2 linked regions of the Struthio camelus genome follow. The protein of the gene in region 2 interacts with the protein of the main gene of each other region in a pairwise test. Links are inferred from orthologs where the notes say so. Each region holds a gene or a part of one and is shown on either strand. Other genes may lie near its edges.

What was found.
Region 1: the proteins of DAB1 (region 2) and MBNL1 interact in binary tests that used the Homo sapiens proteins (3 or more experiments, as listed by UniProt). The link is inferred for Struthio camelus from reciprocal best matches to the Homo sapiens genes DAB1 and MBNL1.

What each region holds. Positions count from the first base shown.
Region 1 is NC_090950.1:33,346,042-33,353,664, forward strand, and holds the start of MBNL1 (muscleblind-like protein 1), read right to left. Parts: upstream 3,014-7,623; 5' UTR 2,876-3,013; intron 922-2,875; exon of another isoform or gene 907-921; coding exon of another isoform or gene 871-906; intron 1-870. UniProt on the Homo sapiens protein: Mediates pre-mRNA alternative splicing regulation. Acts either as activator or repressor of splicing on specific pre-mRNA targets. Inhibits cardiac troponin-T (TNNT2) pre-mRNA exon inclusion but induces insulin receptor (IR) pre-mRNA exon inclusion in muscle.
Region 2 is NC_090949.1:33,984,659-33,992,482, forward strand, and holds the start of DAB1 (disabled homolog 1), read right to left. Parts: upstream 3,014-7,824; 5' UTR 2,947-3,013; intron 1-2,946. UniProt on the Homo sapiens protein: Signaling adapter of the reelin-mediated signaling pathway, which regulates the migration and differentiation of postmitotic neurons during brain development.

The DNA.
Region 1 (7,623 bases), on a different chromosome or scaffold from region 2:
TCCAGACAGTCTGCTGTAACACTTCTCTAAATTTTTTTTGCATAATATCTAATATTTGTGATATTGGAGAAAACATAACAAAGTAACCAGCTCAGCACACACACAAAAATTTGCAAAAATCTGAAACAAAATCAAAGCTGAATAAGTGCTTTTCTACTATTTGCATGGGACAGGGAATTCAATGAAGAGATACGTGCCATTTTCTGTTTACCAACGGAATTGTCTTACATGATACAACCAACCTAAACTAAGAATCCCCTGGCCAAAAAAGCTCAACAGTCTGCTCATAGACATACTGGCAAAGTAGATGTCATGTTACCCTGTTCCTGCTATCCTACAGGCAGGCTTGGAAAGAGCTTTCCTGGGTCTCCTGGGCAGTGACAGTGCCACAGGCTGCTAGCTGGTGCTCTCCAGCCTGCAAAAAAACGGCATCCCACCTGATCCCCGCGGGACCCTCCAGCACAGAGCCCACGGTGAAGCAGCTGAGCCAAAAGCACACCGTTTCACATTAACACAAGTAAACGTATCTGCTAAGCAGTACATTTTTAAATAGCATATCTGGCCAGAATTCCACCCAAGCTTACAACTCACTCACCACGCCGATTTTCACAGGCAACAAGAATAGTCTTTTCCACAGAATATTTTGAAGCAATGCAATAATGCCATAATATTACCTTTGGATATTATCCAGAGGTCTTGCAGTTCTTTACAAAGGTGGTAATTATCTCCTTCATTTAAAAATAAGGAAACTGAAGAATCTTGCTCAAGGCAATACAAGAGCTAGCAGCACCGCCAGCAAGAGAAACGCCGCGCGAGCCCCTGTTCTGCATCTCCCACCCAAACCCCGACCCCAACTGCTGCTCTGCTCACTTCTCCGCTCTGTGCTGAATCTTTACCGCGCTTCATATCATCATGAAAGTCAGAAAGCTCTGCTCATGACGCTGATTTATACTGCTCTCAGATGGTACTTCCCATGGTGAACAAGATTCACATTCAATTAACTTTGGTATCTTGTTTCAGCCTTTTTTGGTTGCATCGTCTTTCTTAAAAAATAAGAGACATTTGGGCGAGGCAGTATGGTTATGATGCTCCACGTAACCAAACGAGGGAAAGCAATTAACCAGGAAAATAAACCACGAGGATACTACTGGATACTATTTTACCAGCAGATACATCATCATTCTCGCCTCCTTTCACAAAAAGATGTTTTTAAAGCTCCAGAGCTCCGCTTCAGTTTCAGACACCTCGGCTGCAACGTGGTGACGTTACAACCCAACGGGCGCCAGCTCTGCGAGGCCTCCCCGTCGCCAACGCCCCTGCAAAACGCACGCGTGGCCGCGGCTGCGCCCGAGCAGCAGCCGGCCCCGTGGGGCAGCTTCCCGTCCCCAGCTGCCGCCGCGAGCCCAGGAAACGCCCCGGCTGCTGCGCGGCACTCACTGCCACCGGGCCGGCCCGAGCTGCAGCCGCGCTCCCCAGGAAACGGTCATGCCTCAAAGCCAAAACTTTTCACCAAATCCAGCTGGGTTTCAGAACTGTTGTCTAGCTCAAAAGAAAAAAAAATCTTTTTCTTTAATGTCTGGAAACATTTTGTTTTCACATTTGAAGATTTTTTTTTTTTGCTTTTTTCCTATGCATTGTAATTACAGTAATTTTAAAATAAAAAAATTGAAAATCGAAACAGCACTGAAACAAAATATCTCAATTGCCATCAGTTAAAATATAATTTGGGGTGGCTGGGTATTTCAGACTTGAAAATATTTTAAAGGTTCACCTTCTATTCTGACCTAAAACAAGACAATACACATTTGTAAACTCAAAAGTGTTGCAGGATTTATATAAAACCACTGTAAGCCCACTTCCTGCCTAGCTCTAACCGTGCTCATGAGCCGGTTGCTGGTGCAACCTGCTGCAGCTGGGTACAGCCACAGCACTTCCTCCCTGCACGCACGACGCTGCTGGGCATGGCAAACTCCCCACACTTGCAGGATTTGGGCCCAAGAAGAGCAAAATTATACTGCAGGAAAAGCAGACAGACATATTTTCTCAACTTTTGATCTTTAGGAGTCTTACTGAATTAAGATACTGTTTGTGGGACAGTTATTTCACTTTTTGAGATGATTTAATTCATAAAAACGAAGGGAAGGAGCTGGAAATCCACATCTAACAACTGGTCACTGAAACTACAGATATATTAAAATAACAGGCTCACGTTTGCACTGCCAAACTCATAGAGACTTCCTAAAAACCACAGTAAGGCTGTCACCTCCCTACACAGCTCTGCTTGCGCATCTAGAGTACCTTGCTTTCTGCTAAGCGTTATCCTTTCCTTACACAGACGTATTTGTAAAAGAGAAAGGATAACCACAGATGTTCCAAACACAGACACATAAACACACTCTCCACAAACACCCAAATAATTTACGAAGGAAAACACTTTTCCAAGATTCAGTGTCTACTGTCCTGAGACATCAACAAGCCACTTGTAGTTACAAGATGGAAACAAATCATCACAGAGCATGTGTTTTGTGCTATTAAAAACAAAGGAGTCTTTACAGTGACTTAGCTATTTCTAAGTGAAATGCCCTTTATTCTAGCTACACACAAAGAATAATTTAGAGTCAAAGGACTAATAATTGCAGCCATGCCAAATGATTCAAACTCTGTTAGGCTTATTTTCCTCTTATTCCCTCTATCCTTCCCCTTCCCCTGAAGAAAATAACAAAACAAAACAGCAATGATCAATAAAGATTATAATAAAAGCTCTCCCTGGTAGCACAGACAGCAGTTTCTCTCTTTTGGACTCCACGGTTTCTCTAGCTATAATTCCTTCTTTCATTAACTCTATATCCTTGAAAATAATATAATATTTACTCACTTTCAATGAATCAAAGCAGGCGATTACGCGTCCATTTTCAACTTGGCAGCTTTTCGATGGATGTGCAAATTTACATTCCGTGTCTGGCCGGGAGCAAGTCCCTCTTTGGAACTCTCTACACACTTCCAGTGTGAGCCATTTTGTGTCCCGAATCGGTGTGACACTAACAGCCATGTTTAGATTTTACAGGTAGTTAAAATTTTCAGTAAAACGAACAAACAAAGAGCTGAACTGAGAAACTGGAAATGATGAAAATGTCACCTCCAGAATGCTTTTTTCCCCCGCTCCCTATTTTAAAAGTACATGTAAAATCGTGTGGTCACAATATCAAGGAAAAGATTTGCCACTAGAAGTTCACAGCATGAAACTGTTAATTGACAGAGGTTTTGTATTTCAAGAAACGCTAGGATTATAAGTAAGATGAACGTTAAAAAGTGTGGCCTGGAACTAGCCTTGTGCTCTCAGTAACCCATTCTGAGTGCCAATTGGAGCCCAAAATGCAAGCATAAAAACGTGGCAGACCCTTTGACACAGAATTTCCAAGCTGCTTTCAGTAAAGTTGTCTGAAAGGTAATCTCCACACAGCTGAATTTGCAATTGGGTTTTGTGGTGCAATCGGTATTGATTAGTTTGGCATAGACAGATGCAGCAGTTTAGAGCAACAATCGAGAAATTTTTTTTCCTCTCCTTGATTTTCTGGCAGAAGATATCTTACTTTCCCAGCAAACTTTTATTTTTATACTAAAGCAGCCTATGGCAATGCCTGATAGAGCTTTTCTCTTGATTATAAGTAGAAATGGGGGTGTCTGGGCTAGAGGTGGAGGGTGGATGTGCTGTCGTCGCAGTCTAGCTGGCAGCAAGCAAGGCAAAAAGCAGAGACTGCTCTAGAAGCGGTTCCAAGCAGCAGAGACGTCAGGAAAGGCACTTCTTAGTACCAACCTGTAGAAAAAACAGATACGTTAAAATTTACCGAGCAGCATTTCACCGGTGTCCCACAGCATTACCGCCTTGCCATGTGATCCTAGAGTACTACGCAGCATTACAGCCTGCCTGCTTCCCTCGCACAGCGTACTTACAGTGTAGCATATTGCAGCCAGCCATCGTAGATTTATTAAAAAAGGGGCCGTTTTCCCTTGTGAAGCAATGCATGATAGGGAGATAACCAATCACAGATAGTGTTGCAGCAATATTCTGGGCAGAAAGCCAATAGTGTGGGCTGTCTTATGAAAGGTCGCGCCTGTCAGACGTTCATTACTATGCTATAAGCACAGAAAACGTCCATCAGATGTGACTTATTCCACTGCAAGAGGACGAGCATGTGGGTTTTGAATTTACCCAACATGCAGCGAGTGGATTAAACCATGTTAGTCTCCAAAGCGCTTCCCCCGGCGAATCCCTGCGGAAAAAGCGAGCTTGCGCGGCTGCAGCTGGCTTTCCCGCGGCTCTGCCTCCCGCACCACCGCCAGCACAGCCGCCTGCAGCCTCTGCGTCCGGCGTGCCGCCGGAAAGGGAAAAGGGGTGTTTGCAAATGGTATGTTCTCCTGACCTATCCAATTCACTTCCTTCTGAACCCGAAAGTCCTGCCTCCGCACAGAAATCAGCTCGTCGCGTACAGCCGGACTCTCCCACTCAGGCAGCCGACACGCTGTCAAGGTAGCGCCGGCTGCTGCGCGGGAACAAAGCGCTCTTTATTCCCACCTTCCTCCAGCGGCAGCCCGGCTCACGTGGGGAACATCAGCGCTGTCGCCTCGCCGGGACATCTGGCAAAACGCACAGGAGCCCCGGGGAGAGGGCGATTCCAGCAAAGAAACGTAAAATATCGAGCAGGCGGTGTGCTTTCAGCAGCACGAGGCGCTGCAGAGCGACACAGCTCCCAGTTAAACCAGGGCCTGACCCGAGCTTCAGGTAGAGGTCTCTGCCTCGGCAGCCCCGCAAAGCGCACACCAAAATGGCTATTCACGGAAGTGGCTGCGCTTCTATGGGAAGCGCAAAGACGTTTTCTGCCAGCAAACCTGACGGCTTAATAATTATTATCATACAGTCAAAACAACTGCAGCACGCCTTGCTGCTTGGCAGGGAGAACACGCTAGTTTAAATTCAATTAAAACCTGCATTAAGCCTCATTTGTTAACTCCCGATGTTAAGTAGTGTGGCACAAACTTCATAGTTCAAACAAAGCCTTTATTTCCTTGGGTATGTTTATTTGTTTCTCTTAAGGAAAAACTTGACTATGAAATGCTATTTACTCAAATGACCAACTGAGGCCCCGGGTCAAATCTCTGACTAATAGAAACAACTGTTCTGTCAGATAAAAACAAAGTCATTACTGTACTAATTTATCTGGTGGGTGCCAAAAACTAATACTAATCTGCATTCATTTAAAACCTCAGAACATAACATGACTGCCCATGTGCAACTGCCAGTTTTCAGAGGACAATGTCTTTAGTCAGCAGTTTGTTTGCTTTATCCATTAATATATTGCAGGTGAACCAAAATCTGCATGATAAACAACTTTGTTCAAAAAACACCTAAATATTTAAAGTTTAGAAACAAGAGAGTAAATATTTTCCCCTCAAAGGTCAAGGTGGAGTGGATATTTCCTTTCAAAAAGTTTAAATGCCCAGCTCCGAAAAAGAAGTTGGGTGCCATGCATGAACACAACGCGGTAACGAACGGGGACGTGTCTCTCACCCGGGGACGTCAGCGGCAGCGAGCCGGCCGCGCGGGATCGCCCCGGCGAGCTCAGCCCGGGGCCGCGTCTCGAGGCGAGGCAAGTCTCCGCGGCGCGGCGCGGCCACCGGCAGCACCCTCTCGCCAGGCCATGGCGGCCATAGCTCAGGCTGCTCCTCAGCTTCTGCAGACACTGCTCCATAATTTGTGTATTATTATTTATTTTTCTTTCTCTAAAGCAGTGCTGCAGATACTAGCATCAGAGGCACACCTTAGGAAGCGATGTGTGTCAGTGTGGATGCAAATCAGCAAAGAAAATCTACAACAGGTCATTTTCCAGGGATTTTAAATGATGAGAACTACAAGCTACCAAAGGAATCGCGCACACCTAATGCAGCTGATAAGATTTGCAGGGGAGCCACAGCGTCTATTACAATCACAGCCATGCCTCGCACACCCAGTTAGGAGACGAGCAACATGGGGAGAAATCGCTTGCAAGCGCAAGCCAAACAGCTGGGTGTCTTCTTGGAGAATGCAGCCAGCTATTCGCTTGCTTCAGCTGCCCACAGCTGGGAGTCAGGAAATTACCAGTCACCTACACCAACAGGTATCACCGACCTGCCCCGGGGCACTCGGTGAACACGCAGGTCTCGGAAACTCGCTCCGTAAGAAGTGCTCTGATAAACAAGCTCAGCCTTCACACTGTGTTACGTTATCCAGTCACGCAAAAATCTGCACCTCGGGTGGGTCTGGACCTCATGAGACCATCTAGTCCATCGCCACCTCCTCAGGCTGCCCAAATTGCCCAGTTTGCTAGCTTTTTCTCAAAGCGCTCCTGGGAGGCGGAGGCCACAGCATCCCCCTCCCCCCCCCCCCCCAGCCTAGTCCTGTGCAGGGCTGTCCTTCGCAACAGAAAGCTTTCTAAAACCAAAAATGAACCACCCTGTTGAGGCCTGTCACAACTCATCCCATCCTCCAGCGATATGGGCAACAGATTTATTCCCTTCCTCCCACAACCACTCTTGCACTGCAAGAAACACCTTGCAAGTGCCCTTTCATTATGAACATTTATTCCTGCATCCCACAAAGCAGCAAACTACGAGATGCTCACGGCAGGACGATTTAGGTGAGGCAAGATCTCCACTTCACAACGAAGCTGCGAAACGGCTCTCAGTGTGAATTTTCCCCTGTTCTTCAGCTTGGTATACAATCCATACTAAGTACTGATTTCTCCAAACACTGAGAGAGGAGTAAGAGCAGCAACTGATATATTGTATGTGCTAAAGCCAAAGGGAATTAAAAGGCACATTTTCAAAGCAAGATATTTAATCTTACTTTCATAACATGAGTAGTTATCCCCAACAAGGTAAGCAAGATAATGCAAGAAGCAACAGCTTATACAAAATGAAAATCTTTTTTGTGCTCACAAATAAGGAAAGGAGTAATATTTCTGGTAAAATTCAGGAGATGATATGTTTTACTCCTAGTTTTGTAGTAAGGTTTCTGGGTGGAGCTGGACTAGCCCCTTACTCATCGTGAAATCATGATCCTGCTGAGGCCAGTGACATATCTGTAACTGCTAAATGGGGCTGAATTTCACCTGCTATTCTTCAGGCTGCCAGATACAAAAAGCAAAGTTGTTACTCCAAGGAGCTGTGATGCTTCAAGTAGGTAATCTGAAGTCAAGAAATGCTAGTATAGATATATATTTCGCCTGCACAAATACTTGAAGAAAAATTGTTATGTTAGAATTTGTTATACGCCTGAACACAGAGCCCAAAATGTCAGCTTTAAAAATAGTCTGCTAGCAAAAATAAAGACTAACTTAAGACCAGAAATGTATCTTGAATATCTCCACTAAACAAACGACAGGAAAACATTGCAGAGACTCATAATTTTTGAGCTGCATAAACTATTTTCCCATCACTATGAAATTCTCTATTGGGATAGTCCAAGTCAATAAAGGAATCTCAAATGAACCTGAACTAAACGATACCATGACAGCAAAAAAAAAAAAAAAACAAACCAAAAAAACCCCAAAACAAACCCCCCCCCCCCACACACACACACACACAGAG
Region 2 (7,824 bases):
AAAATAAGCCTGACATTTTTGCTGTTCACAGTTGAGGATTAATTTTATTAAACAATTTTGCAGTTTTCTGCTTCACTGACTGCATATTTCCTTGATAACATCCCAAGAAGGAAGGTATATTGTGTCTACTAACTTCTACCAATACATTGCTTCATTCAGGCAGCACTTGACCTGCATACACTTATTTTATTATAGTTCAGTTTTTTTCACTCTATCAGTTTGGTTCGATCTCTTCTGCATTTGCTTGACCTAGTGAACTATTCAGTTCACATGTACAATACTGCACATAACGTAATTGCTAAGTGTCACAAATGAATATCTGCAAGGGAACCCAAAAAACTAAATAAAGGAGGGGAAGTCATTATTAAAAAGGTTGAAGGGTCAATCTTCTGAAGTGCTGCTATCAGTTTGAATAGATAAACTCAGGACCTTTTCTAGGTTGCTTTTATGCAAAGTGTCAGCTTCCATAGATTGCTGGCCTCTAGGTCCCAGACTAAACATGTTACATTTGTATTATTATAAAGCATTATGCAAAATAAAGTGAGATTAACTTTCAATTATTTGGGTCAAAATTTATTCCAAATTGAAACTCATTCCCCTGCAGTGAACCAGGTCAAAGAATAAAAGCTCTCAAAAAAAAGATTTAAGACCTTGCTCTGACCCACTGACAGTGTCTTCACAATTTGTGGCCAACACCTATGGCTTACACACGGCTCAGCCCATTATTAACCTGATTCGTCACCTTAATGCATGCACAACCTCTTGCTCTGAGATGATTTCATGTATCCTTCCCATTTTCAGCAAAAAGCAGCTCCTTACCAATGGCAGGAATTGGAAGCCATCTGATTTCTTCACCTGATAAACACTAAATGCAATTGCTAATGCAGTAGCAGCCATTGTATAAAAAACAACCAAAGAAACCTTCCCCTGCCTCTCCTCCACTCTTTTCTCTCCTAACCTTGCTGCAAGGAGTCATTCCTTTAAGACTGATCTACACCTGTACTTTTCTGCCAACAGATTCAGCCAGCAGTTCAAGAGCTGCTATTTACTGGATGGTCACTGGAGATTGAGACGTGAAGCAAGCTTGGCTCTAATTTTGTATGTTTAACACATGGATAGATTTACATCCAACAAAACAATATACTTACCAGCCAGTGGGAATGGCTTTCAATATAGAGTAACAAATTTGATGTAAAAATATACATATATCTGGCATACAGCAAACACACATAATCCTAGTCACTTTAACTGGCATGGGAAACCAGCGGTGTCTGAGCTGTCGCCCTTGCCCCAAGCTCTCCTCCTTGCGATAAAGGAGTAACCATAAGCTGGCAGCAGTATGTCAGTCATCTATTAAACCAGCCATCAGAAGGGGAATGCGCTTTGTCCTTTGAACTGCATGATCTGACCAGCCTGGGACCAAATTCTGCCCGGTAGCTCTCCATAAAGGCAGTGGAAGCTGTGCAAAGGCATTTCACAGAAGAATTTGTCCACTGGAAAGCATGCCCCTTTGGCCCCGCTGCAGAGAGATTAACTGTAACTCAGCACATAGCAAACAATACAGTGGGGAAATAGGTTGTATTTTGTTCTGGCAGATCCTTAGCTGAACCCCAGTCTCCTCAGACAAGTGGTACACCTTTTCTGCAGTGCCAGTTACCACAAACTGGGAAGCGAGAAGAGGAAGCAGCCATGCTAATGTGGGTGGCCTCTCAATCCTTCAGGGGACAGAGGAGAAAAGCCATGACACATTCTGTCCTTTGCTTTGAATTTAGCTTGTGATCCTGGAATAAGTGCAATACCCTTAGCAATGCCGTTTGAATTGCTGGTGGATAGTAATCCGCAATGGTGCACTCTGCCTAGGAGAAAGGCAAGCAGCACATCTCTGAGCGAGCAGGAAGACAGAACAGCCTTTAATTCCTGCAGAAGGGACTCTTCTCAAGTCAGAAAGAGGTCAGTCATGGGACAGAGCACAAAGAGCTTGTATTCACACAGCTGTAACTCTCAGGGGCACTAGGTGCCTTAACCTTCACAAGTGCATTTCCCAGTTAGTCAGAAGTTACATGGTAAACACACAATTTAAAGAAGTAACACTTAAAAGAGTGCAGTATTTGTGTAAAGAGCTTGATTCTGCCAGTGTGGCTGCATCACCCTTCTGTCCTCCGAGTGGCATTCCACATGCAAAGCCCCAAGAAACACATCTTGAACTGAAGAATTAATAAGATTGCTGGCATTTTTAAATGTCAGTCAGTTTTTACATAAGCTCTCTGCCTGTGGAAAAATGGGAGAGTCGCAATCCATAATTGTCCAGCAGGAGCGTCTCTTTTTAATGAAAACGCTGAGGATTCGTTTAGAGGATCCTCGGGAACGGTCACCTCTTGCACTGCTGTCGTCTGGGGGGTTGCCCCCAGAGGTACTCTACAACATCAGTGGGGATGTCAGCCGAGACGGATGATAAGATTAAGTGCTACCCTCCTCCAAGGGTAGACATCAGCACCCCCACCCCCACCTTGGGAGGATCAGCAACGATAGAGCAAAGATCTCCAGGGCTGAGGAAACAAGGAGGTCAGTGACTTCTCCCTGGCAAATATCTGCCTGGCAGACAGCACTACATGCGTGCACTGCTGCCCCTTGCTCCAGCACTGTTTTCTGGCAGTGCAGGTACCGAGAGGATGAGGGGAGTGCAGAGGGATTTAGCTGAAGCAAATGTGCTTCTACAGCTTTCCCAAATGTTGTGGGAATGGCAGAGAGAAAAGGGGAAACTAAATTTTTGTCTGCCTTTAAGTTTCAGTTCAAAACTCACGTACCCAGATTCTAGACGTGATGCGAGGGGTTCAGATGTACAGCTCCTGCTGAACACACCCAAAATCATGCCTCTAAAAATCCACCTATTTTAGAAAATTTCTGTTGTATTTTAAAAAATATTATCTGATAATTGCAGATTCTTACTATTCGTTTTCTTGTAGAATCCTTGTTCAAGTGGCATCATCAGCAAAGGTCTCAAAGCAGCCTGCCAGTTACCGCTCACTCCTGCACAGAGACATACGAAGAAAATAATCTAACCTTTTAATTCCTCCTGTTTTTATTTTTCAAAAATTCAGCCAGGACAGCAAGCAGACAAACAGCAAGAAACAGTGAATGTCGTTGCACTGTGTGTCCAAGTTCATGGCAAATATGGACACAGATTAATGAGTCAAAAAATGCCTGGAACAGAGTCGGGACATTTAGAAGTAAATACATATTCAAAGTCAGCTCAGACTCTGCTGCTAATCCTGCAGCCACAGGGGGTCCCCACCTGAGTAGGGATATGCTGATCTTGATTGCTCGTGTGACCTTTCCTGCCTGTACTCCAGGGCCACATGGTGGGCAGAACAAGCTGCTTTTACGCTGCACGAAAGCTGCGAGGTTAACCCTGGAGGCAATCAACACGTCTCAGCCTTGGCATGACTGGGACGGAGTACATCACGTTACTGCTGGTTATCAGGAAACCCTCTCCAGTTCCTAATTCACATATGTACAAATTAATGATCCTTATCATTTCTATTCTGACAAATGTGCAAGCCCTTGGATGACATGCAAACTTCAGCTTTCACACTCATTTTGAGACTTAAATCCCTCCAAATGGGCCCAGTGAAACAAGTTGGCTGCATGTGTAAAAGCAGCCACAGCCTTCATCCCCAGGCACTCAGAGAAGCCAGGGCAAGGTCGGGGGGAATTCAAATGGTTTCCCTTTGAGACCCAGTGAAACTTTTACCCAAAGCTGCATTTATCAATTAAGGTAACCGTTCTCAATGTATATGCTCAACAGAAAAAGGAAATACGATTCAGCGGTTACTGTAGTCACCTGAGAACGTAACACCATCCGTCCCTACTCTACGGATTTCCTTCACGGCGCTTGGCAACTCAACTTAGGTTGCATTCTCACACCAGGAACAAGTTGCTTGCTTGTCTTTAACTAACCCAAACTAGTTATTCGGCTGCAAAAGTTGGGCTAATAACATTGCTATAGAAATGCAACTAGAGGAAGTCTACCCTAAGGACTGTTGTGCTTAGCATAGTCATGATAAACATGCAGTGCTTTGTCTCCAATGGGATTTTACATGAAGAAAGCTGTGTCTGTGTGGAGAAAATGAAGATATTTCTTCTCCTTTGGCAGAAAGGATAAAAAATAAGTGTCTGTGTCTTGTTTAATAAAACTACTATTTGTACTTTATTTCTGTACATGTGTATAGGAAAAGGTTGTGCAAGGCTGCTACAATAGTAGTGATGTTAGTTTTTCCCTATTCTTTATCATTTGAGCTTTTTCAAAATCCTCAGCAGCATCTCCGTCTGACAGCCTGTTACAGCATCTGGGGGAAAAGGGAAAACATAAGCACAAAAAGCCCAGAAACGGGCAGGCCAGAAACAGGCCAGGTCAATAATATTTTATAGAAAATACAAAACATTTCTGTGTTTGAATTTAGGAATAGGCTGTCCCCATTTACAGCCCAGGATTGCGTCAATGATTGCTAATAGACCTCTGTGAAGAGTACAAAATTACGTTGATTAGTTTCCAGCAGTGCCATTTGCCTTTGCAAAAGAGCCTGAAGCAGAAGGAGTGTGAGAGCTTGTCCATGCTGTGTGAAGGGAACAATTCAAATTCCACAGTGCACTGGGGAACCACATACAGAACCCGTACCTGTGACAAAGGCGCCAGCTGAGCGCGTGTGCGCCGAGCAGCCGGATTCCTCTATGCAAATTCTTACCTATATTTATTGTCCATTTTGACCTGGGAGGTTTTTTTAATGGTGTTCACCTCCTTCTAAATGATGGCAAAATCTGCTGGCTACCAGTGGTCAAATGCATTATGCAAAAAAAACTTCTTAATGACAGTGAAATGCTAAATGCAAATAAACCTGCTTTTCATGCAGTCTCGCCTGAAAGAGACAAATTGACAGTAATTCTCCCTAAAATACAGGGAAAATTGCTAAAAGAGATTTCCTGTGTTTGCCCTAGATGTATTTTCACTTGGGTCACATTTTTACTGACAGCTCACCAGCAGAACTGGAACAGAAACTCTGCCAGACTGATGTCAGGGAAGGGGATACTGAATGTTGCACAGAGAGAACGCTCTCTAACACTTCAGCAGGACGGAAGGAAAGGGGCCAACCACACGTTTTGAGAGCTCAAGGAGGGCTTGCAGGATGCAGGGTTCATTCCTGGCTAAGACACAACAATCTCCTGTGGCTCTGGATGTACAACTTGGACTTTGTTTCAGAGGTGTTAAGTTATCAGTGTTCCTGCCTTGACACTGCTGGAAAATCAGCTCTGTGATCTCTCTGTGACTAAAATCTCCCACTAGGAGAACAGCGATACAATATCTCAGAATGATAGACAAGGATACACTTATTAACGAAGCACTCAGATATCACAGTGATAAACAGTATTGAAATACTTGGGCGGGCAAGTGGGTATTAAACACTAACAGAATTTAGAACAATCTCAGCAAACATGATGGTTTTTTACCTCTCATTGCTTTCATTTCAGCCTGCTGCCATGTAGTGACTGCCTGAGCCACTGATTCAGCAAAAACCAAAACCAAGACTTACTGTTTCAAATGTCAGAAACGGGAAAAACATAAATCTTTTTCAAAATGTGCAGAAATACTCTATGCACTGTGATGTGAAAGGCTGCTTTTTTGCTTTGCTGTTCATCTTAAGAAAAGAATTGCTAAAAAGGATGTATTCACTGCATCAAACCAAAAGCACAGAAGGTGCAACAGCTGCCATAAGTGTGAAATATTTGAAATAATAAAGCCTGCTATGCCAACACTGCCGGCAACTGCAACCACTAATGTTCAACCTCAGTTGTTTCACAGACGCTGGAAAGAACCTTTGCAATTATGAGCAACTCAAATCATACAACAGGAGTAATCAAATTCCTATCATATAGCTCTCATCCACTGGGATACGTTAATTCAGCCAATCTCAGTCATATGCAATTTAATGATAAAACATTCCTCAGCCCCTCCTTGGAGCACAGTGAGACTCTGGCAATACCGCTGAATCAGCTGAGAGACCACACACACAACGTCAGCGATGCCACCGCATCACTGTTTCCCATCCTTGTCAGCCATCCTTCCCACAGAGTGGGCTCCGCTGCCCTCATCACCCTGCTCGAGAGGAACACCAGCCTGGCGCACACAAGGGAGGTGACGTTCACAAGCTGCAGCGGGGAACAAGCTGTGTCCGTTCGAGTGCTGGTACAGCTTTCCGTCCTTCTCTTCTCGGGTCCCTTAGCAACGTGAGGATGGACAGAAAATACACGCTCAGCATCCCATTCTCTCTCTCTTCTCCTTTACCTGTTACTTCACCCTTCTTTCGCATTCTGCAAGCCTGCTGCTGCCTGTCCAGTGTCCTGCACTGAAAGCACAGACTAAGTGGAACAAGGTGTCGAGCACAGGCAACATTACGAATAAACAAGGCTGTCTTGTGGAAGGGCCCAAGCAAAGTTGAAAACAGAAAGAACAAATCTCTCAGGACTAACAGCTCTGAGTTAAGAAGAGGTCTAACTAGCTAACAAACCATCTGTTTCCTCTTTGTCTTGCTATGTGCATGGTTATGCATCTATGTCTTAATTCTCTGCATTTAATATTTGGCACTAGCAAGTACATTTTAATAATAAGCCCCTCCTAAGAATTATTGCTTTCACATATACACACAAAAAGAAGTCAAATATTGGTCTATTTTCCATCTTACTATCCCTACCTAACAAGGCAGTTTGACAAGCAGACTGACAATAAAAGCAATGCAGGGTTTCTTCTTCATGCCTGCCTACACACCACTCACTTCCAGGCTCTGGAAAAAAACGTTTGCTGCCTGCTGTGCTGGTCTGCCTCCTTCCACAGAATAACTGCCCTGGAGACAGCTGATGCGTCTGCTTTGCTCTTACCTTGTCCTTCACCTAAATGGTACGGGGTTTTAGGTGTATTTCTTAGTTATCTCAGGAAAAGGCTTGCGCGCACACACACACACACACACACACACACTTTATATGCTATTGCTAACCTGAATTTTTGTTAACTTTTCAGGATAAAGTGCATACTGTGAGTCTGATTTTCAAAGGTGACACTCTCTAAACACACACATTCGCATTCACAGTTAAGCACAAAACAGTAGTATTCGTTTTTATAGTCACTTGACCAGACACTAATACTGTGGCAGGGAACTGGGGTCAGTCAATCTTTCGCTATGTATGGCAAATCTCACAAAGTAGTAGTACGCATGGAGCCAGCTAAAATAAAATAAGAGTCTGGGTATGCGTCACACAACACTATCAATCTAAAATGCGCAGTCGGGAGCAAGAACTTTTAGAAATTTTTAAGGAAAGATTACAACTGAGTTCTCAGGGAGATTTAGGGCTCAAGGTTCCCTGTTTCTAGAGAGAACAAAAGAAAAGCCATCCATCACAACTGGTCAGGACTATGTAGGGATGCAGGGATCAAAATGACAGGGAAGCACGCAGAGAAAGGAAAGCAGAGAGACCTACGAGGGGCAAGAGTGGAACGAGGGCTCTGCATATTGACTGAAGCTGCTGTCCCAACTATTTTTGCCTAAATGTTCGCTCAACAAATTAGCAGCCAACAAAATCTCCATTTAAGAATAAAACCAATGAGCTTTCCCATCTGACTGCCTGAATCCAAGCACCCAGGCCACAATTTTGAACATAAAGGTGACTGCCCTCCCTTTAGGATTTGAGAAGTGCTGGGAAAGAAAGATAACCAGTGTGTCAGGAGGCCAAACCCATAAAGCTCACAGAGTGAAAGAGATATGAGCCTTAGATAACCTG